Mytilus edulis: one gene and its partners. The protein of the gene in region 2 interacts with the protein of the main gene of each other region in a biochemical or structural test. Links are inferred from orthologs where the notes say so. Each region holds a gene or a part of one and is shown on either strand. Other genes may lie near its edges.

Region 1 (8,444 bases), on a different chromosome or scaffold from region 2:
ATCGACTGTGTTGTTATTGAACAGCATCATCACTGGTGTCAACGTGATAATCGAAACTGCAATTACGAGCATCCCAATATGGTGTTTGAGAAATAAAAAATCTTGACATCTTGAATCTTGACGCAAACTCAGGTAAATTTTATATGGCCAATTTCTCCACGTTAACAACTTACTTTCAGATTTATATCATAACAAGAAACACCTACATAATCATGGTCCGCCATATTGGGATGATCGGAATTGCAGTTACAATCACCACGTTGACACCAGTGATCATGCAAAAGAAGACTCTTATGTTCGTTTTGTTTTTATTAGTTTAAGACACTCTTAAGGTCAAGTGTTATTTTCCAAACGTAGTTGCTAATGAAGTTTACGAATCTGTTCGCAATTGCCTACTTAAAAATGGAGAGTTATTCCAAAACGTAGATGAATCTTATATTTGTTTTATGAACAGTTCGAGACACTCTTAAGGTCAAGTGTTATTTTTCAAACGTAGTTCCCAATGATTCTATTTGTAATTGCCTTATTTTGTTCTTTATAAGTTTAGAAATAAGAAATCGTATTAATGAGTTTACCGTTTCCGTGGAAGTATACTTAACTTCATAAACGCATTGAATCCATAAAGTCAATGTTTCAAATCAATGTCACATTTAAGGGTATTGAGACATTGTGATAAATGGTACCATTTATGAGATTATAGCAAAATAAATGAATATTTTATTCGTCTTATTTAATAGGTTGCCAAACTATTTACAAAAAAATGACACGTTATTTAAACATAGTAAACAAAAAAAGTTAACAACATGGCAGTGGTTTAAGTGGGTCATCATCTATCAACACTAAGGTTGTGAGTTCGAACCCCGCACATGGTACGTGCGCTAGACTCTCAACTTAATTTACAAGTATTACAAGTTTGTTCTTTTTTTCGCCACATGGTTGTGGTATTCTGAAAGTTGTCCGTAATGCAATGATTTGCTAGCATTTTAAGAAAAAAAGGTAACTGATCCGAAATGATAAGTTTGTATTTGGATCGGTAACATGTTTTGCTTATGTGTTTTTTGTTTTCTTTTCAATTCCAATGAGTAGTTCAATATTGTCCAAATGGAAGATTTTGAATTTGTTTATTTGATATCTTTTTTTATCCTGCAATTGACCTTTCTCCTGAACAAATACAGGGTGACAGATGGCATGGAACGATAAAAGTAAAATATACGTTCACAGTCTGCTGGTATCCCGCTTCTGTCATGAGCGAACGTAATATGCTCAAATTACTGTTTACATCACAGTTCAATTTGGAATTGCGGTTTTCTATAAAGTCGTGCTGATTTGGGGGAAAATACATATTTTAACTCAATGAAACACTGCAGGATTAAAATTATATTTAAACAGAGTAGACAACTACATTGTATAAACGGCTATACGAGCTTTTCTTCTGTTTTTCAGTACAAATACATTTCATATCTTCCTAGAAACCACCCACCAGTAACACTCGAGTAAACTAAAAAAAATGTTCTTGTCGTGAAAGACTATAATTTGAACGTTATGTCATTTCTAAACTCAGTTTTTTTTTAAACTAAGGCTTTTCTACCTCAGGAAAAGATTACCTTAGCTGTATTTGGCAAAACTTTTAGGAATTTTCGGACCTCAATGTTTTTCAATTTCGTACTCTATTTAGCCTTTTAACATTTTTTCATTCGAGCGTCACTGGTGAGTCTTTTGTAGACGGAACGCGCGTCTGACGTAAAGATAAAACTTTAATCCTGGTATCTATGAGTGTATTTAGAAGATGTTATCATGAAACTCATGTGGACTTTGAACTAGAAAGTAATTATTTACAACACATATCTGTGTGCGCCGGTGATTGACAGCACTTTTAGCTACCACGGCAATACCATGGTGGACATTTTTTGTCGTAAAATTAGGAAGCCATAGTACCTTGAAAGATCCCCGATTTTGAACAAGAAGACTGGCTATCTTTGTCAATTAAAATCGTAGTCGAACACAACTCGAGACGAACGGGGTTCCAACTCTAAACCCCAGAGTTGACAAACCTAAAGAGATAACTGTATACATTATAGACTACAATTTATAAGACCTGTCGGTCACCGAGGCCTTAAAAATCAAAATGTGACTTAAAAACGTTGGTATTCCACTGGACTTCAAACGTCAATAAATTCCCGGAATTGTGTGTGTGTGGCGTATGACAAAGCTACTATTTAAAAACTATATGTGTTATTACATGAATTTAAGACGAGTACAATGTAGCTAATATCAAGTTTGCATTGCGTGTTCAATTTTATAGATAATATTTCCAATATCCTCCAAAACAATTTATTTATTCAGAATTCCACATGCGAAGTCTTTCAGGTGTGATGATTTGAATGCAATTAATGAAACTCAGTGAATCATAGGACGTTTCAGTGCAATACCATACATAAAAGAAGTAAAAACATAAAACAATCCATCGATTTTGTCATTTTGTCGACAATTTTTGAAATTAAGAAAAATGAGCAAAGACTTACCTTGAAATAGGACAAGTAAACACAAAATATAGTATCTCATAATGTATATCCTTATCCAAGTTCACAAATCATTTCTAAGAGTTAAAAGTAACAATTTTACAATTCATTTTTCAGTGTATAAAGTATTAGTACATTTTTCCGTGTTTCATAGCGCAACACCTGTCAATACGACAAAAGTCAACAATAAAATATTTTTCCAATTGAAAACCAATTCCTAGAGTTTTACTTCATTATTGATATTTGTTAAAAATCCTCGTGTGGTCGGAGCAGTATATAAAGCCTGTAGCAAATGAAAGCAAATATTTCAATATGTTCATATAATATAACGCTAACCGGACCCCAAATATCGTTAAGTGTAAATTACCAATAATTCAATAAAGATCTCGTTGTTGGTTAGTCAAAAGCGTATTTAAACGTTTCTTTATCATTTACATGCACTTGAATATATTTTTCTCTACACCTACGAACCGACTTAATTATTGGATTATCGGCCTATCAGTTTCAGCAATAATGACAGGTACTATATTGTTCATATTTGAAATTAACATTCAGTCAATATTTTAACTGATTGAAATCCAATCATGGCTACGGTCTGATGGGTAATGTATCTTTCAGGAGTGCGTGGAGCGGGTATCGTGTAGGGTTTACAACAAAACTCCATTTTATGACTTTGAATTCAGATTAGGCTTTATCTACAGCCGTAAGAATGTACTCGGAATATTATTGAATATGTTTTACAGCACTGCAGCTGGATAGATTCCATGCAGAGCAAAGATGAAAGAGCGATAAGTTAATCAGTTCTCAATAAATAAATGAACCATAGAACAGTGGTGGGTGTCACAATAATTATATATAATGAATAGAATGAAATCACATTTCTAGATACATGCAATATTTGTTTTCAATTTCCTTATCGATATTAATATCAGAATACAAAATAAATCGTCCCGTAACTCACGTTTAAGGGCATCATTTTCTTTTTATTCAGGGGAAACTACATTTCAAATCAATGGTAAAGGTAAATTAATTACCTGAGTGAAATTGACAACTTCGATGCATTTGTCAATAAAATTTGATAAATGTATCGATCGTTGCTATTTTCTGTTTTGAATGACACGATTTAAAGAAAGAGGATTGCGACGACTTTTTATGGAAATATCATTAGTATTAATATATTCAACAGCTTGCAAAACTTCTGTTGCGGTTGAGACAATTCCACAAAATAATGACACATATTAATGTGATTTTCTTCGTCGTATTTACTGGCTATGAATAAGTGAAATCGGTGAGAATAATATTTTTAAAATAGTATTGTTGTAATAACATTAACGGTACCAATTTTCCTGCACCAGATGTGCATTTCGACAATACATGTCTCTTCAGTGATGCTTGTGGCCAAAATATTTGAAATCCAAAGCTTATATAAAAGATGAAGAGCTATTATAATCCAAAAGGTTCAAAAAGTATAGCCAAATCCGTGAAAGGAATCAGAGCTTTGCATGAGGGAGATACATTCCTTAATTTATAATAATTTCTAACATTTTGTGACAGCAAATTTTAATAACACAAAAAAAAAATCCGTATTTTGTAAAGCTCTTCTTTAATTTCCTGAGAATCACAATATTTTCGCATTATCATTTCAAAGGTGCTCACTTTGAATAGATAAAATCTAAATTGAGAAATCGGTTTTATTTGTTTAATATGATTGATAATATTAAGACTTTGTTTAAAATAAGGAATATTTTTCACTTAGAATGGATGTAAAGTCTGTGAAATATGTCAATAAAAAAGTAAAATAACACAAAATACCGAACTCCGAGAATTCAAAATGGGAAGTCCATAATTCTGAATTATTCTAATACCTGCTTTCATCCGGAACCGATTCGTATATGACGTTTTCACCCGTTGTTTTAAGCCTTTTTACCTGAGGTGAAACCACTCAGCCTAGCCTCTTTTATTTATTAAATTTCCGTAAATATTCTCTGTTAAAGTAAGGGGATGCGTTATGGTTGACTAGGACACAACTATCTACAAAAGTTCAAATGAAGTGGGTGGAAGTAATTATAGGTACATGTACGGCCTTCAACAATGAGAGAAAAAAATATAATCTTCTATAAAAGGCCACGGCATGAAAAATATGTGTCATTGAATTCAATTGAGAAAACTAACGGGTTTATACAAAAACTAATATGACAGAAATTAACCGCCGACAACCACTGAATAAGTCTCCCGACTTGGGGCATGAACTTAAAGAATGTGTGCAGAGTTAAACATGTTTGTGAGCGTTCAACCATCTTTCTAACCTGGGGAAATGCTGTAATCGAACAATATAGAGGCGTAAAAATTCATTAGAACAACCTATAAAAATCAGTTGAAAAAAGGCTGAACTCATCAGATCGATACAAAGCAAAAACACATCTAACAAAAACACAGACTGGACTTGGCCAGGTATTTATCTATCTCTCATCCATAATATAACACAAAGTACAGATGCAAGAGAACTCGCAGATACTGAAAGTTAGTTCAAAGCGAGTACCAAAAAAAATGTATCTAGAGTTCAAATATTAATCATGTATATTGATATATACTCGATACGCTTTTAACTGCTCCCTTGAATCAACCCAATCTCGTAATGTCAGTTAATCCAAGCGATGTAATATAGATGTGTCTTATGTGGCACAATCGATCAATTCGTGTAAGCTTAATCATTTAATGTTGTATTTGTAGTTATTGAATCTACAATGGTACTGTAGTTCAACTATAAATTTAAACATACATATAATTTCAAATAACTTTTTAATAGTTTATGGGTAACTCTGGTCAAGTACTTGTCTTTATGCACATGTAATCTAAAGAAAACTTCAAAGAAAAAACTTAATAGATATAGGAAGATGTGGTGTGAGTCCCAATGAGACAACTCTCCATCCAAATAATTTAAAAAATAAACCATTATAGGTCAATGTACGGCCTTCAACACGGATTCTTGGCTCACAGCGAACAACAAGCTATAAAGGGCCTAAAATTACTAGTGTCAAACCATTCAAACGGGAAAACTAACTGTCTAATCTATATAAAATAAAAAACGAAAAACACGTATAAGTTACATAAACAAACGACAACTACTGTACATCAGATTCCTGACTTAGGACAGGTGCAAACATTTGCAGCGGATTTAAAACGTTTTAATGGATCCAAACCTTCTCCTCCCTTTTTCTGAAATAATAGCATAACATCACAACATTGAAAAACACACATTAAAATATCAATTGTCAGGCTTAAGGTTCCACTAAAGTCAAAATATAGGACACTTCATAAACATCTGCATTACATGTAACAGTATTCGTCCATACCAATTTTAAGCAAATTTAGTCGTCTTGCAGGCCTCAAGATTTTTTTGAAAATTTGGTGTTCACCCCAAGAACCGGTTTGGCCACAACATTACAATTTCAAGTTTATTTACAATTTACATAGTGTTTATATGTAAAGTATGTTTAAATGAACATATATTCTCATAGTGTATGACTTTATTCATTATAGGTTGACAAATACAGGCAAAGTTTAGATGAATTCGATTTTAAAACTATAAGAATTCTTATACACGGCTGGTAATCTACACACGCAGAACATTTGGTTCTGCAATGAAAACCGTGAGAGGATTTTCCGGTTGTGCTTGAGTGGAGTAATTGTCACCGCTTCAAAAGGTATGTACATTTCTAAATCGCAATTTTCTTATTCGACTGATCAAAATATTGAAAATCGGAGAATGCTATGCTGTGGTGATTACTTTAACGAAGAGATACATGTATCATTTACTGTTGTACGTGGAGTTGAACTCCTACAAAATCAGTTGCCGCACGAGAATTTGCCTAAAAAAGTGACATTTAGATTTTGAAATGGTTCTATTAACAGACCTACAAGTTCAAATTTACTTTTTATTCGGTCAATGGGTATGGATGTCGTTTTGGGCGGCGTGGACGCTGTCTGGAGTTGATAGACATCTTAATAAATCTAAAAACCTCATATTTTCATTTTGTCATGCGTGAGGGAATCGGTTCTGATTGAGGACATCGTGAATGCGTGAGGGGACTTGAAATCATACATGTTTCTCTATATTCAAGCTATCAGTCGTTGAAAGTTGCCTCAATATGGTTAGATTGTTTATGAAAAAACAAATTTGTGTGCATAAATAAAAATTATGAGATAGAATTTTGAAATAACAATAAATGACCATGTTTTCTTTTCATGAATAAAAGTCTAACCAATAAATTTCAAATACTTGTCCAAATTCGTGGATTTGGGCAAATAATCGATAGTTTACTACCACAATTTGATATTAATTAATATTGTAATTTTAATTGTTATTGATAAATGTTAAATCAGTATTGCAAATCTAATCCTGAATTCTGTCTATCCTATTTTTGGGATATTGTTTAAGAAATTCATATATTACGTCACTTTGGGCGTTTATGGTTTTGGCTATCTCGGCTGTGAATTTTTATTTGCTGGTTTAGGTAATTTTATGTATCCGTTTATATTGTGTAGTCAGTCACCACTTCGATTTTATCATGTATATCTATTTATAGTCATTATATAAAACATCACTGGTTGCAAAATTTTGAATTATTCGAAATAACAAGGATGTTCTTATTCCAGGCGGAAACCCTAGCCGTATTAGACACAACTTTTTGGAACTTTTGGTCCTCAATGTACTTGTCTTGGCTTTCAAACTTTTTTCATCTGAGCGTCACTACTAAGCCGTGTGTTGACGAAAGACGCGTCTGATATATAAGTGTTTTTTTTTAAACCTGGTACCTTTTGTTAGCTATATTTGGAGTGTTTCTCTGTCCTATATGTTCTATCATTTATTTGTATTGCAGTCCTGTCATGTAATGTTGTCTTTAACTGGTATATTTACCATTGCCGAAGAAGCGGGAGGTTTGGCATGCCACAAAATCGGGTTTATCCCACCATTTTTTCTTAAAATGTACTGTGCCAAGTCCGGAAAATGGCTATTGTTAAATTGTAATTCGTTTCTGTGTGTGTTAAAGTTAAAAGTTATGTTGTTGTTGTGTCGTAGTTTTCCTCTTATATTTGATGTGTTTCCCTCAGTTTTAGTTTGTAGTCCGAATTTGTTTTTTCTCAATCAATTTATGAATTTCGACAACGGTGGACTACTGTTGCCTTTATTGGAGACATATTTGCAATTTATTGGTAAGACTGTTTATTCATATACAGAAAACTTTGTGATGTATTGTATAAATCAAAATATTCAACTAAATATCAAAATTTGTGTTTTCGCGATCCATTTTTTTTTTAAATACGCAATACAAGGGGAGTTAACTCTTTTCGTAAAAAATATATACTGGGCTGATAAGAAATTTTTCAACTTTTATTTGTAGCTAGAAACAAATCGTTGACAAAATTTTTCCTTTTATTGTTCGTAAAACCTATCTTCCCAAAATGTATTTCAAAATTCTATCTCATTAATTTTGTTTATGCACACAAATGTGTTTTTTCATGAACAATCTGACCACATTTAGGCAACTTTAAAATACTCATAGTTTGGATATAATATTATGGTTTCACGTCCCCTCACGCATTTACGATGTCCTCAATCAGAACCGATCCCCTCACGCATGTCATAATGCAAATATGAGGTTTTTAGATTTATTAAGATGTCGATCAACACCGGACAGCGTCCACGCCTTCCAAAACGACATTCATACCCATTGACCGAATAAAAAGTAAATTTGAACTTGTGGGTGTGTAATTAGAACCATTTTAAAATTTAAATGTCACTTTTTTAGGCAAATTCTCGTGCGGCAACTGATTTTGTAGGAGTTCAACTCCACGTACAACAGTAAATGATACATGTATCTTTTTGTTTAAGTATTCACCACAGCATAGCATTCTCCAATTTTC
Region 2 (8,001 bases):
TGAGAGATTTAATTTAATTATTATATAATTCTTTTGAAAACCAGTTATAACTGATTCGTTAGGAAGTGACTCTAAGTACTTCTTCTTTTGTTTCAGGTCAAACATTCTGATACCAAACTAATCAAAACCAGTCTGATTTGATCAAACTCTGCCTAATTAGTCATCAGATGCCAAGATTTCTTTTTTCAGAAGAATATATACTGTTAATAAAGATGTTGACATTGCAACCATTAGCTTTTAAACAAATTATCTCCCTTGAACCTAAACCAAAATGTTTACTTACTTTAAATAAAAACTTAAACCCCATACAGGACAGATCGATTAAGGGAGGGACAACAGGAAGAGAGATGGAAAAAACTATAGTCAAGAACACATAAATGCCCCTCTACTATGGTGGGAGGGGCATAATAAAATACATTACCTCTATAGAAGGCAAGTTTACATCACAACCATTAGAAATAAGCACAATCACAATATCAACACAAATATCTTCCACTGTACAAGCATAATTCAGTAATGGTAAATCCTCAAATAACGGTACTGTTAGGATATCACGGTCATCTCCACTATCCTCCCATTCGTCCAGTACACTGACCAGTCCATTTTCCAAGGTTTCAGCATTGCCAGAGTTGATCAACCTTATAATATTTGTTACATTCACCATATCTATAAATGAAATGTTTGGTCTATTAGTTTTGATAATTGATGATATATTATTGATTAAAATTAACAAACTTATAAATACTGTGGCTTTATTATACTCCGTTTAATACAAATCTTTTGAGTTTTGGGGTATACAGGTGAAAATTTAAATGTTCAATGAATTATAATTGTTCAAAGACTTTGGAAAAACGAAAGTAAATATCCATGAAAACGCAAGTTTTCGTCGAAAATAGATACTCATGAAAACAAACGAAAACTACAGTAGATCTATGCATTAATACATACACTAACAGTGTTTCAGCACAGAACCATAGAGATTAATATCAAGTATGTTACTGAATTTGAAATGTATCCCATCTAATTTTATGGTATATATCTTGTCTTTAAAAACTTTCTATCTAAACTAGCTATTTCTGTTTTCATTAGGAAATTTCATCATTTCAGAATCAATTTCAGAATCTAATGTGTTCTGTAAAATATTCTAACCTCTTTTGATTCCATAACCTCATACTAAACATGCTAAAAGATTTGACTTTCAGGAAATGCATTCTGACCTTGACACAATCTAATCATGCTAATGTTTGGTGTGTTTATTTTAAATATGATTATTTGAAGTGGCCAGCGTACTAAAAGATTTGACTTTCAGGAAATGTATTCTGACCTTGACTAATATCTAATGTGTGGTGTGGTTATTTTACAAATGATTATTTGAAGTGACCAGTGTCCAATGTAACTGATTACAAATGAAAGCCAAGAACAAGTTTCTTTGATAATATGCCAGGCTCTTTGAATCATATGTATGACCGTTCCTCAAAATTTTCAACTGGATTTACATAAATGTTATGTTGTAAAAACATTGAAACAGATTCAAACAGAGAATTATGCTAAAGTTTGATTCTTTAAATGTCCATTGAGGCTTAATTTGTATAGTTGTTTAAAAGTTGATTATATCATGGATGAAAAATCTTTCTTTCTTTATTTCCATATGATTTTAAAGGAGTAGTAAACTATGATGTACTTTACCAAAAATATAAATGTATTACTTAATCATGTTAATTATACATTGTTATAGGGAAAATAATTCTCATATTTCGAAAACACTTTAAAAAATGCATCTAGTGTCATTCAGGTTATAAGTAGGACAGGTGCAATTTACTCATATTTCAAGTTTTCTCAGGATAAAAAAACATAAATATGTAAAAATGAAAATAAGAAAATAAGAAAAGAGGATGAAAGAATTTAAAAATTTAATAATATATATATGAAGTATCTTTAACACTACATTATAACTTTCAGGAAATGAAAATGTCAATTCAAATGAGGTCATTATTGTGGTTTTCTAAGATTCATAACAAATCGAATCAATTTTACATTTAGTTATAAAATGAATCAAACTTACTAACACACCTGCCATAGTTTAAACATGTTAAATTTACAGAAAATCAAGAAAAAACAACAAAACACTAGATAGAAAACTGCAGACTGCAAGCAACATGAACCCTATCCAAAACTGTGGTAACATACCATGTAAACTTATTTGCTCAATGCCTACTTCAAATATTAAGTATAGTTTGTGTTGCATTATAAATCTGGTAAAAATCTACATAGATCAATACAGAAGTCATTGTATATATTTACTTTCATACTCCTTAATTTTTTTTTAGAGTACATCAAAGGTTTACAAAACAGTTTGATGTCTTCAAAAGAAAGTCAAATTGTTTTATAGTATATTATATATATATAGACATCATAGTAGTAACGACAATGTTTTTTTGTTATCTATTTTAAAAACAAACAAAGTATATACCACTCTCAGATAACAACTGAACATACCATAGATCCACTGACTTGCTCTTTTAGTAAATTCTGAATATCTGGCCATTTTCCTTTGGGTAATTCAGTTAGAATATTCATAAAAATTTACAACTTTAGAGAATTTTCTGACTTCAACTTAAGTTTTGATAATGGTACATCTGAGAAAGTTTATAATTGACTTCATGCAATTAATAATCTATATTAATGAGTATATTCCTGCATGCCAATGTTATTCAAACCTGTAAAATAGCTAATAAAGATGAATCTACTTTATCCCTTCAACACACCACCGACGGTTGGTCACATTTTATGTCTTGTTAACATTTTATCAAATATCAATTATCATAAATATTATCGTTGATGTTTATCTGATTATACACATATATATCCCAGTCATATCTTAAGACAAATTAAAAGTTCACATTGTCAGGTTGTCTTAGTAGATTAGGTCAAACTTTGACACTTCATTAGTAATTGTGGTACTATGTATAAAACGGAGAAGAAGTCTTTCAATACAACATCTTTCTGCTTTAATACACATGTATCTATCACATTTCATTATAATCTTTATAACTATAATTTCAATGTCTGTACCAGTATATATAACTCAATCAATAAAAAACTTCTTCTCAAACAATATAAAACTACTTATATAATTCCTTGATTGCTTTTAAATTCCAAAGTCTGAACAGAGCTGCTAATTTTAGATACTATCCTAAAGAAACTAAATCCATGCATCTGCATCAAAACTTGAAAACTGAGTCTATATAAATAAGCACATGTTCCTACTTCCTAGATGTTAATATGATGTTGATTCACATGTATAAAAATATGTATTCCTCTGCAATTAAGTGTAAAAAGTTTACAGCAATACGTACGGCTGTCATTTATATTCTTTATATGTAATATTGTAACAACGAACCACATCGCATGCACAGGTTTCCAAGTTTAAAATAACCTAAGTATTAACACAAATATCTGTCATTTGTGTGTACACATTATAGGAAGACAGATATACTTCCTGAATGAGTTAAATACACATATTTCTAACAGTTGAAGTACTTTATTCAAAGATTGAGATTTAAATCCATTCACCCACATTAAACGGGGGTTTTAGTTTGTAAAGACTCACAGGAAAAAAATGCATTGTGCATGTCCTAATTATTTAACCCATAATGAGTTTACTAATTATTTTATGTGACAGATATTTAGGCATCAGTAATCAAGCTAAAAGTGTACTATTTTTTTCCTTCAATTCAGTAAATTTAGTTTTAATGGGGTTTTTTTATCATTAAACTAGTATACTCTCCTGTATAATTATAGTGTGGTCCTAACATTTTCCACAAACATGTGGAGAACCAAGATATATCGATAAATAGATATCAAATGTCTACAAATTATATAAAAATTATTCTAATGTAAGAAAATATTAATCCTTTATTAATTATTATGAGCTAGAATAATATATAACAGCTCTATATAATATAATATTGTGAAGCACTCTGAAATATTTTGAACCTATTTGCCACAACTACATGCAATAAAATAATATATATAAATCAAAGAGCTGATAGCTCTGAGGTGGAAAAAGGTGAATAAAAGTTTACTTGAATTACCATAAAAGCAGCCCCACTAACCCAGCCTGCTTTGGATTTTTTTCTTCAAACAAGAATGTGTCATAAGTACATGGATTTCCCATCTGTACAATCATTTTCTATGTTCAGTGGACTGTGAAAATTTGGTAAAATCTTTAAAAAACTTCATCAAAAACTACCTCGGCAATAAACCTTAACCTGAAGCAGGACAGACGGACAGACTAAAACATAATGCCCATAATGGGGCATAAAAATAGTAAGACTTGTTACATACCTGCCAACTTTTGAAAGTTCCCATCAGGGTTTTTAGTGCGGGACAACAATTTTAAAGGTTACAATTTTTAGCTAAGTGCACGATCTGGATTGTCTAGAAAAAGTGTCATATTTGTATGATGAACTTACATGCCTTTTTCTTAAGTCTGTTTGCATGATTCTAGTTATTAAATCGTTAGAAAAGATGAACATGTAGCCAGCAGACCAGGGTTTATTTTCTTGTGTAAGAATATTAGATGCTTGTTGAAATTTCCAATTTTGAATTATGCACAAAGATGGACCTTTAACAGGTTGGGAACAACACTCCAAATGAGGGGTAACCCTCATTGGAAGTACATTACAACCCACTGTAAAAAATGAGCACCTTTATATTCATATTATTTGATGAAACTTTTCGCTAAGAACTATGCATCTATCAAGTCTTAATTGGTCAAAACATGTTAAAAAAATTTTGTGATGTTTCTATAAACTTACATCTTTTTTTATTAATTTGAACCCTCATTTCGAAAAGTTGTTCCAAATACAATGAATTTTCCCACTATCTTAAAAATGTTCTTTCTTATTTTTTTCAACAGTAAAATTACACCTTGATTTAGGGACAGTCCCTCATTTGAAGGACACCACTCATAATGGGTGGGGGGGGGGGGTCTTCGTGAAAGAAAAAATAGTATATTGTCCTTTAAATGATTTAATTGAATACAAAAATAAAATATGTTACAACATGTATTATGTCAAAAAATTAGTGTAAAAAATACTATTAATCATCTTTATGGTAGTAATGCATCATTGAATTTTGTCAATCAGCCATGCTTTTATCCTTCAGCTGTGTAAGAACCTGCTTGCAGATGAAAATTCACATGCCATTTTCACGATTTTACAACTAGATGAAAACTACACTCCATACAGCGTTATCGTTCGGGTCATACTTCCCTTTCTCTACAAACAATGTAAAGAAGCGTAGTTAGATGTCACCACTTTTTCAGAGTTTGGATAAAATCAAAACAACACAAGTTCATCGTGAGTAACACAGAATTTGATTGGCTGAACACGTTTGTTTTACAAGGAACACGTTTTTTAGAGGGTTTTTTAACGATACCCTTAATATTAAATTTTTTTAATAAATGCAATGAATTATTATAAACGTCCTTGATAAGAGTAAAAAGAATGAACACAGGGCTGTACGGGCGAAAGAACTCAGGACGAACAGACCAAGGGCAAACATGTAAACAGGGCAAGTTGTCCCGATACCCAATTCAGGCATGTGTACTACAAATATCGACAGTAAAAACATCCGGTTACAAGGAAACAAATGTAGATGGGATGAAATCTAATAATTTACATAAATAAAAGGGTACATATTTACGATTGTGATTGTCTTTCAATCCTAATTTACAAATTAAATGATTCAGATGCTTACTTTATATGTTAAATCGGTGTCAGGAACCGAAATATTTAACGGAATAAATTGTAATATACAGAAACGAATGCAGCATACGGAGAATCAATGATTTTAAGTCAGCACCATTGGCCTTCAGAAGACTTGAAGTCTTCTTCCACCAAAAATTTTCTGGTAAAGCATGTTTGTTGAATTGAAAAAATTTTAACTTATATATGTGTAAAAAATATTTTCCTGCATCAGTTTTTTGTAGCGTCATATTTTGAAATACAACTAAGTATACATTTTTTGTTCTTTAGGGGGCACTAGCTGTCAAATTTGTGTTTACTGATTTGACTCAAATTCTCATATTTGATTTAAAATCATGTGAAAAGGCTAAAATAAACAACTTACAGGGCATGGACTCAATTATATGTAGCTTTGTTTATGTCTATTTTAGTCTATAAGCCATCTAATTAACTATCTAGTTGACCTCCGATAAGCGATATACACATGAATATAGTTATAAATAGATATCAAAATGATGCAATTGGATTTTTCTAAGTCTGTTTAATTTAATTTTATAGATTAAAAATAAATGTTAATCATTGTCTTTACCTGTATGAATGATTTTTTTAATGGATCGAAGCAGTCAATCAAATAATTTACCTTCGTTTTACTTTCAATGTTGACATTCTTTTCCTTTAACTTACTTTACACGCACAGTTCATTTTTATTCATTTCTATCTAAAGGGGTTAAATTGAAGTGATATGAATACAGATTCAATGAAATTGAATTGTTTACTTGCAAGTGAATAATTCATCGTCAATATTTCTTAGCTTATTTCGACAAAATTAAACCAGACTTGCTGCTTAAAGCGAATTATAATTTCATTTTTTCACTTTCCTTAATGATTGAACAAAAAAAATCATATTTTAAGGAGGTAGACCTAGGTGAAGGGAAATAACTCTTAAAATCATCAGTACGTTTGTGTCAACCATTTTCAAAAAACATATTCTAAGCTTCTAGGTTACATAGATTATTTTCAATCTGTTTCAGGTAAATGCTTAAAATACATTGATGAACTTGACTTTTACAAACGCTTAACTGATTTAAAGAGTTATCTCCCTGAACCAAGGTCTACCCCCTTAAATTTTATCTGGTAGCTTGTACCGTTTTAATCATAATTTCTATACATGCATAAATGATTAATTCCACGAGAGTTAATTTTTTGTGGGAAATTATTTTTTTGTAAGAAAGTAATCGATGTTCTTAATAAATTATTTTTCATTGAGATTTTAGTTTGCTTTTACAACATTTATTTTAAGAGGTCAGAATATACAGAGCAGTTGAAAAGCTATGAATCTGAAGAAGCACCAAACAATAGATTGAAGTCCCTACTGAAAGCCTGATACCAAGTTTCAGGAATCTTTGTTTTCAAGTTCCTGAGATAAAAGTGACAAAATTGAACTGGACCTTTATGTTTAGTAAACCCATAAAACATTCCATAGATGATTTGGTGAGAATTAGATTCTAAAATACAATTTCAAGCAATTTTCTGTTTTATCAAGGGGCATAATTCTCAAAAGAAAAAAGTAAAATCAGTCAAATTCAAAAAGATTCTGTGGTTGACAAATTTCAATAGATTTGGTAAATTAAAGCTTACTTTAAGTTTAATACTTAAATAAATCCTTCATAAACAAAAAAAAGGTTATTTCCCATTTTATCAACTATATGATTTCTCTGAAATTCTCTGAAATCATAAAAAGTGAATGAATATAAACTGAATCTACATTATGAACAAAAAATAATCTTTGTCCTGCTAGTTTAATTAAGGGGAATACCTAATGAAAATCAAATGTGAAATTGGTCAAATTCAAAAACAAAATTTCAAATATGAAATGTGAAATGATATAGTAGATGCCTTCTTAAGTTTATGTCTGGAAACCAATAAAATACGGTAAGCTATTTTCTGTTTTATAAAGGGACATAATTCTGAAACTAGAGGCTCTCAAGAGCCTGTGTTGCTCACCTGTTACTGTATTTACTGATGTCGGCCATGTTGGTTGATAGGCGGGGGTCATTAGACACTTTTTTTAAAATAGATACCCTAGTAATGATTGTGGCCAAGTTTGGTTAAATCTGGCCCATAGTTTTAGAAAAGAAGATTTTTGTACAAGTTACAAAAATGACGAAAAGTTGTTCAATATTGACTATAAAGGACAATTTTGGGCATGTTGACTTATTTGTAGATCTTACTTTGCTGAACATTATTGCTG
Region 3 (8,229 bases), on a different chromosome or scaffold from region 2:
AGAAAGGAATCAAATATCTGACTTTGGAAAAAGGTAGAGCGCTTTTGATACCTTTTATGAAATTATCTTTTACAAAAAATCATCCTACAACAGTTCACAAGCTGTATATGCCCGCGATTTCGCGGGTGTGTTCTAGTATATATATATATCAAAAAAATAATCATGTACATGTATATTAAAGAAAACTAAAAAAATAACTAACCATATCTAGCATAGACTTTTGGTTGTACTCCACTACATTCTCTAATTAAAATAGGAAATTTAGGGTTACTCTGCTTAACACCAACATAGTAATTCTCTATGAACTCTCTGAAATAACAACATTAAAATATACAATGTATTACAACATATAAGTATATATTTTGATTTTCCTGTCATTGGAAAGTTACTTCACCTTATTCAATGTTTTGAATAGTAAAACATAATTTGTCACTGGACTTCAAGCAGTCAGGAACCTGTCATTCAGTTTATTGATGTGGTTCATATGAGTGGAATGGACTATCATTAGCATAAGGAAGAAATTAAATACCAGTCTAGTTATGAATTTTGACTTCATAAAATATTAACTTTATAGAATTTGACTTCATTAAATATTAACTTTTTAGAATTTAAACTATTCGTCAACCAAAAGTGAGATTCTACTGGACTTTTACAGATTCTTCAGATAAAAGTGTTTCTCAATTAAAAATTATCTTTTTTTATTGGACTGTGAATTTTTTTTACCCTGGTCATTTTGAGCCACTTTAATAGCTTGCTGTTCAGTGAAAGAAAAGGCTCTGTGTTGAGGGATGTACCAATAACTATTTTTTAGATTTGATAGATTTGTATATGACTTTCACATGTATGTGTATATTCAAATAAAAACGATGAGTCTTTGGTGTGGGACTTTGTCAAAGTCCATACCTGTTAAGTCTTTTTGAGTGTTAATACTGTTGATTTCTGAATTTGAAGCAACTTTTTGTACAAAGTCAAAGGACAGTAGTTGTGCAGGAGCGCATGATTTTCATTTGAAAATTGCTTGTCTCCACCAGGACTCGAACCTGGGACCTCTGTGTTACAAGTCAGCCTGTTAACAGACTGAGCTAAAGAAGAATTGAATCTGGGAACGTTCGCGCTCATTCACATTTGCTCCCTTTCACTCTCTCCCCCTACACATTTGCACCCTACATGTTTGCGCCCAATTTCTATTGGTTTTGTGTTCAATAACTTTGTAGTCATGATTTGGCAAGTGTATTCCTAATGGCTATAAGTATATTTGTTGTCATTGTCTCAAAATAAAGTGAGACAACGTTTCTTTTGTAATAAATAATTCTTAACCATGTTTTGGATAGTGTATAGTTAAAAAAATATATAGTTTCTAAATAAAATGAGATTCGACTAATTTTTTTGTTGTTGAATAAATTTTAATCTTTTTTGGTTCATTTGTGGTTAGTATATTGCTATAATTTTTTGTTTAATGATCGCTTTAGAACAAAGTGGTAAGCTGTTAAAAACAATTATCCTTTGTGTTTTTCTTTTAAATTTTTCAATGTTTTACTCATACAAAGCTAAATACATGCAGGTTTTACATCATATCAATTTAAAACAAGGCACTGGTTACGGTTACATGGAAATGTAACAATAATAAAATAATTATTGTTACATTGGAGACTTATTGCCAGAATACAGGATGGGGTACGGATCCGATTAATTACGAATGTAACAATAATATTTGTGTCTGCGGTTACATTGAGTTATTGTTGCATTACTGCACTTCAACGTACGGTAGATTAATTAAACTTAAACTAGCCTTCCCTAGTTTTGTTGCTTATTTTTTTCGCCAATTAAGAACAACGATTAACGAATGAATGTTGGCAACTGTTAACATTAATTGCATTCAAATTGACTTTTAAGTTTTATAAGTTTTTCAGCTATGCTAAGTTGGATATTGAAATCAGAGCGATGTGAACATAAAATCATATAATAATCCACAATAGTCATTCGTTAGTGCAGAATGGAATTGTACAGTATGCAATACTGACGTGCACATTGCTGCATCACTTGTATGTATAAAGGCTGCTTAGAGTGGTTTCACCAAAATACGTCGGACTAAAACATGCCCAAAAAACTGATACATTACTAGTCCCAGCGTACATTGAAGTGTATTTATGTAAAAATAACGCAATTAATGAAACCGTAGACTCAATTACTATTGTTAAATTCGTAATTAATGGGTTCCTTACCCAGCCCTGCATTCCGGCAATTAGTCTTCAATGTAACAATAATTATTTTATTATTGTTACATTTCCATGTAACCGTGTGAACATATATTATGGGGGAACTTATATTCTGTCACACACGTTCGCGCCCAATTTTAATTCAAATTCCAGTTGAATGATTGGAAAATCATGATTGTTGTTTTAAATTTGCTATGGTGTAAATACTGAATATATTTAGCTTGGTATGAGTAAAACATTGAAGATTTTAAATGAAAAACACAAATGATCATTTTTTTTAACAGCTTGGTCTCTTTGATCTGAAACAACATAAACAATGAAACAATAAAATATAGTAATGCACTATTATAACCAAAAAATGATCAAATTTATTCAACACCCCCCAAAAAAACGTCGTCAGAATCTCAATTTGTTCTGAAACAAGTCAATGCAACAAAGTTATTGCAATTCACCTAACCAAAACATGATTAAGAGTTGTTCAACACAAAATAAAACGTTGACAGAATCCCACTTTATTTAGAAAGGATTTTTATTTTTTTCAACAATACACTATCGATAACACGATTAAGATTTATTCAACGCACAAAAAAAAATGCTGTCTTACTTTATTTTGAGACAATGACAACAAATATACTTATAAGAATACACTTGCCAAAACTTGATTACAAAGTATTAAACACAAAACCAATTAAATTGGGCGCAAACCTGTAGGGTGCGAACGGACTTTGGGTGCGAAAATGAAAGGGGGCGAACATGAGTGGGTGTGAAAGTGAATGGGCGCGAACGGACCTGGATTCGGCTAACTTACAGTACTCAGTAGTACTAGTATCTACTACATTGTCTATGCCATGGAAACCTTCCTGGACGGGTATTTGATCGGCATTTCTCTCAAAACATTTAAACCCTGGTCATAGTATAAAGAACTTGTTCAATTACTTTAAAATGAAGATATTTTTGGTGAAGGTCACATTCTATTTTTCGTAAGTCTTTATAAAGAAATGCAATTTTGCAAGTGATTTTGCAAGATATGAGCAGCTTATGTTATTTTAAATATGAACTCATTATATTAGGTTCGAACCTGACACCCTGACTTGCTGTAGATTTCTGGCATAAATGAATTCTCAGCTCTTTTAAACTCTGTCCAAAGCGAAGTGCTTTAGCAGACGCCATTTTCAGCTGGTTTGTAAATGTAAGATGAAATGGTGAAACGAAGACAACTATTTTGGAAATATTTATTATATAAAATAAGTATAATGAGTATCAGAAATATTTGGTAAATCAAATAATTGATAGAGGCAGCGATATTGAATTTAGAAAGAATACTATTCTTTTACACATGTTACATTGTTATGTTCGTTTTTTATGAAAATCTTAAATTTGTATTAACGAAACTATGGATGATTTTGGGGTCTCACTAATTAGCGACAACAAGCGTCAAGAAGCGACAACAAGCGTCAACAAGCGACAAGAAGCGACAACACATATTATTTTAGCGACAACAAGCGACAAGAAGACTATTTAGCGACAATAAAACATTTTTTTTTTATTAGATATAAAGAAATTTGTATTTAATGGGTTTTTTAAATATACGAGCAGATATGTCTAATTAAAATGTTTTATTATATAGATAGACGAAGAAATGAAACATTTGTGAGAAAGAAAGAGATTGTGAAGTTTATATTTAAATAGTATATTGGTAGAAGAAGAAATTTGACTTTTGTGAAAAAGAAAGAGATTGAGCTTCTTTTTTTTATTTTTAAATATGAAGAATATGTATAAAATAATGTATGTATCTGTTTTCATCAAAGTCAAAGTATGAATAAACGAATGGAGATATATATGGAGCGGGCATAATAGAATATAATATTTTGATTCATTTGCTTAATACTATGCTCTAAGTGTACTCTTGTTATGTCAATTCGATGCTTTATTTGTAGAACTCTCAGCCACGCTTTGCCATCTTTATTATTTAAGCGTGTACAATAACATCCAATTAACACCGTCAACTTTGTACACGCGTCAGACTATACAATTACACGCGCCAGAATATACAATCATTGTAAATAGTGAACACCTGTTGAAAACTCAAGATTGTCATTAATTTCCTTTCATCTTCAATCAATATGCATAAACATGATAAATATCGTTTAATGAGGCAATAAACAAATAAAAAGATGAAAACATTCACATTTCAATTTTCTTTTCCTCCTGTTTGGTTTCAGTTCTTTGTATTTCACAATTTGTGTCAATATTTTCAGGACAATGATGCACAAGTAATTCATTTTGCGAGCTTAATACATATTGCACGAAAAGAGTTTTAAAAAACAAATTATAAGATAAATAATATGTTCTAAAACACAAGGAAAAGTAATCTCATAATACAATGATTAAACGTAATACTGGCTGTTATTCATAATAGATGATAAAATATTATGTAAATAATGTTTCATTTTTTTCTATCAATTTTAACTTTCTTGTCGCTAAAATTATTTTCTTTGCATATTCTTTTAAAATTCATTGCAATAATTAATTTTAATTACAAAAAAATGTTTTCTTGTCGCTAAATAGTTTCTTGTCGCTTGTTGTCGCTAAAATAATTCTTGTTGTCGCTTCTTGTCGCTTGTTGACGCTTGTTGTCGCTAAAATTCTTGTTGTCGCTAATTAGTGAGACCGTGATTTTGTACACTTCCGCTGAAATTCCACTTTTACGAAATATAATTTTACATCGAATATTTCAATGAAATGAATTTTTCTTTATAGTTGTACCCACCAAGACATTTAAACCAAATTCAATTTAGTTATATAACATACAGTTTTACATCATGGTCCATCAGAATTTTTTTAATTAATCTCAAGAAAATCGAAAGTAATGAAAGAAAAATAAATTTATCAAAAAGTAAATAAACATGGAAAAATACACCAAAATTAAAAGTATAGGCGAAGGAGCATTTGGCAAAGCATTGCTTGTGAGGGATAAAAGTAATGGTCAGCAGTATGTCGTTAAAGAAATTCAAATGTTGAGGGTACAGTATACATTTTAGCATGTGTCTTCTTCTTCTTCTTTCAGTACAGAGTCTGACTCTTCTTGAGTGTATAAATGACTCTTGCTCGTGAAATCATGAGACCTTCCCTCCTCACTTAATAAAAACTATTTACAGGAAAATTATTTACAAATAAAACTATGTACATCTGGGGTCAAAGGAGATCTAGGTGTGTGAAGCTCCTGTCAAGGCCTCTGGCAGGATGGTAAGGCTGGCCTTGAACTCTTCTAGTGGAATCCGGGTCTGTTCGCACCCAATCACGTTCGCACCCTTCCACATTCGCCCCCCACATGTTCGCACCCAAATTTTGCAAAAAGTTCGTTCGCACCCCACACGTTCGCACCCAATTTTACCGATTTTTTGGAGGTGTATTGGTATGAATATATATGCCATTGTTTCTAAATAATTCGAGATACTGACAAGTTTTTTTGTGTCATGACAAGATTATAAAAAAAAAGTCCTTGTTTTAAAGTCGGAGTGAGTTGAATAATTCTTAATCGTGTTTTGGTTAGTGTATTGAAATAATTTGTTTTTCACTGGTTCTAGTCAATTAAGTGCGAATCTGACAACATGTTGAACAACTGGTATGCTGCTGCTTTTATGCATGGTAAGTGTATTGCTATGATTAATATTTATTTTATTAGTATTTACATCAAAGCAATTTAGAACAACAATCATGATTTATAAACAACAGTAAACAATAACACCAATTAGGCTGTTTATAAATACCAACAGAGACATATAATACGTCTCTGATACCAATTAGCAATAATCATACATAATCAACATTTAATAATTAATCATCAGATTGATAAAAAAAAAATCTATTCAATAAATTCTCAAATTTTATTCAAATAGAATACAATTATTTGTTATATTCATATGAATAATTTCTAACAATTTAACTTAAATTTTATTAAAAATTGGGCGCGAACATGTAGGGTGCGAACGGACGTGGGGGGCGAAAATGTGAGGTGCAAACGTGTAGGGTGCGAAACTATATTGGGCGCGAACGGACCTGATACCCTTCTAGTGTAGCTGCTATTGTGGCTTTTTCCGGTAGAGTGTTCCATTCCCTGGTTGATCTTGGGAAGAAGGAGTACCTGTATTGGTCTTTTAGTGTGCGCTGTTGGTGTATGCGGTGGCCTCCTCTGGTTGTTGAATCTCCGGGTTTGTAATAATTAGAGGGGTCAATATCCACCAATCAATTGTGGATCTTGTATGCCATGGTGAGTCGGTCTTTGCAGCGGCGATCTTTAAGAGGCACCCATGTGTAGCGGGGTTGCTTCCCCTCCTTAGTACAAGTAGAACATATAAAGCCAGTCTTAATCAACTGAGCTAGGGAATCAATTCTTTGGCTCAATGGGTTAACTGACTATCACACAGGCGACTGGGGTTTGAATCCCAGTGGTGACGATATAAATTTGTAGAGTAGATACATTTGTACATGCTCTCCGGTTACACATGTTTAGTACACCAATCTAAGATTCTTTTTATGAATGAGTTGCAGTAGTTGTCCTTAAGTTCAAATGGTGTAAACAACTTAATTGAATAATTGGTTCCTACTTTGACCATTGACATAATAACATTAGCATTGTGGCAAAGAAAATAAAGGGGAAAGAGCACAAATTTGAAATTCGTCTGTTGAGTATTGACATTATCATGCACCATTAATCGCTATTTGTCCTTAATCACAAAGGTTTCTCCTAAATTTTGATGTCACGATAGATAATGTCTAGGACCACAAAGGAAAAGTGATTGTTGTATGACGTCTATCATGTCTATTCATGCTATTGTTCAAGTAATGAAGTGTCACTGATTCCGAAATATAAAAGTGATAAATTCTATTATATGTATTATCATGATTATACTTGTAATTTATAAAATTAAACTCCATGAGGTGTACCAACATGACCAACGCCTGTGTGAATCATTTCGATAGAGTCCCTGAAGTGGATACCTTGGTATGCAGGGTTGTCAAATGAATGCAACATTAAAATAATACACAAGGCAAGGTTGGAAGAGAAGCCTTGCGAAGTGGTAGGAACCATGGGAAGTTCGTCCAATTAGATACCAAGCCTTAGAACAATTTCATGTATCATATAATAGTAAAACAAACTCAAGTTACATTTTAAACAAACTTTAATTTTCTATATTTATCTTATCTATATATAACTCTGTATTGCTACTTTCACTTTTCATTGTTTCTCTCACCATGACGACGTCAAATTTTATGCACCACTTTGAGTACTTCAGGGATTAATTTCTGTATAAAAATTGTCCTGATGAAGCCTGCCTTGCAGGTGAAACATGTAGACCATAGCTAGGAAGAATCTTAGATTGGTGTATTTAAAAAAGGATATTAAAATTACAAAAGAGGGCTGCTAGATTAATACTAGAAACAGACCCATTCGCTCCTTCTGCACCCTTATTCAAACACTTAAACTGGATGACAGTTGAACAGAGAATAAAATATCATAAGTTAGTGATGACATTTAAGTGCATTAAAAATAATGCCCCATCATATCTTACTAACAAGTTTCATTATGTTTCAAACAGAAATCCATACCCCTTGAGAAATGCTGTTCAAGGAAACCTCATACTCCCTAAACCAAAAACAGAATTGTTCAAAAAATCTTTTATGTATTCTGGACCATTCTTGTGGAATAATTTGCCAATACCGTTAAGAAATATTACAAATGTTAATTCTTTCAAATACAAAATAACAGATCATTTATTGAAATCAACCTAGCTGTATCAATAATATTAAAAACTGATCATGTCATCATGTTTATTTTTTTTACATCACATTTTATCAAGTTGTACTAAACATAATTATCATACTTGACTTTTTATACTAATGTATGCAATGTATATGTTTGCATTTTGTTTGATTTCTCATGATGAGGGCCTCAGGGAAGATTAGTTATATAGCTAACTGTGTAACCCTCTTGAAATAAAGTATTGTTGTT

The links. The genes of interacting proteins can lie anywhere in the genome.
Region 1: the proteins of leucine-rich repeat serine/threonine-protein kinase 1-like (region 2) and proto-oncogene tyrosine-protein kinase receptor Ret-like form a complex in vitro, tested with the Homo sapiens proteins (2 studies listed by BioGRID and IntAct, with this or other methods). The link is inferred for Mytilus edulis from reciprocal best matches to the Homo sapiens genes LRRK1 and RET.
Region 3: the proteins of leucine-rich repeat serine/threonine-protein kinase 1-like (region 2) and serine/threonine-protein kinase Nek1-like form a complex in vitro, tested with the Homo sapiens proteins (2 studies listed by BioGRID and IntAct, with this or other methods). The link is inferred for Mytilus edulis from reciprocal best matches to the Homo sapiens genes LRRK1 and NEK1.

What each region holds. Positions count from the first base shown.
Region 1 is NC_092352.1:57,426,972-57,435,415, forward strand, and holds the start of proto-oncogene tyrosine-protein kinase receptor Ret-like, read right to left. Parts: upstream 3,352-8,444; 5' UTR 2,563-3,351; coding exon 2,523-2,562; intron 1-2,522. UniProt on the Homo sapiens protein: Receptor tyrosine-protein kinase involved in numerous cellular mechanisms including cell proliferation, neuronal navigation, cell migration, and cell differentiation in response to glia cell line-derived growth family factors (GDNF, NRTN, ARTN, PSPN and GDF15).
Region 2 is NC_092347.1:2,554,725-2,562,725, reverse strand, and holds the start of leucine-rich repeat serine/threonine-protein kinase 1-like, read right to left. Parts: upstream 3,487-8,001; 5' UTR 3,406-3,486; coding exon of another isoform or gene 3,357-3,405; 5' UTR 2,546-3,356; coding exon 2,497-2,545; intron 667-2,496; coding exon 422-666; intron 1-421.
Region 3 is NC_092351.1:3,607,430-3,615,658, forward strand, and holds the start of serine/threonine-protein kinase Nek1-like, read left to right. Parts: upstream 1-4,878; 5' UTR 4,879-5,122; coding exon 5,123-5,239; intron 5,240-8,229. Other genes in the region: NADH dehydrogenase [ubiquinone] 1 alpha subcomplex subunit 2-like, read right to left, coding at 203-309, 3,295-3,386. UniProt on the Homo sapiens protein: Phosphorylates serines and threonines, but also appears to possess tyrosine kinase activity. Involved in DNA damage checkpoint control and for proper DNA damage repair.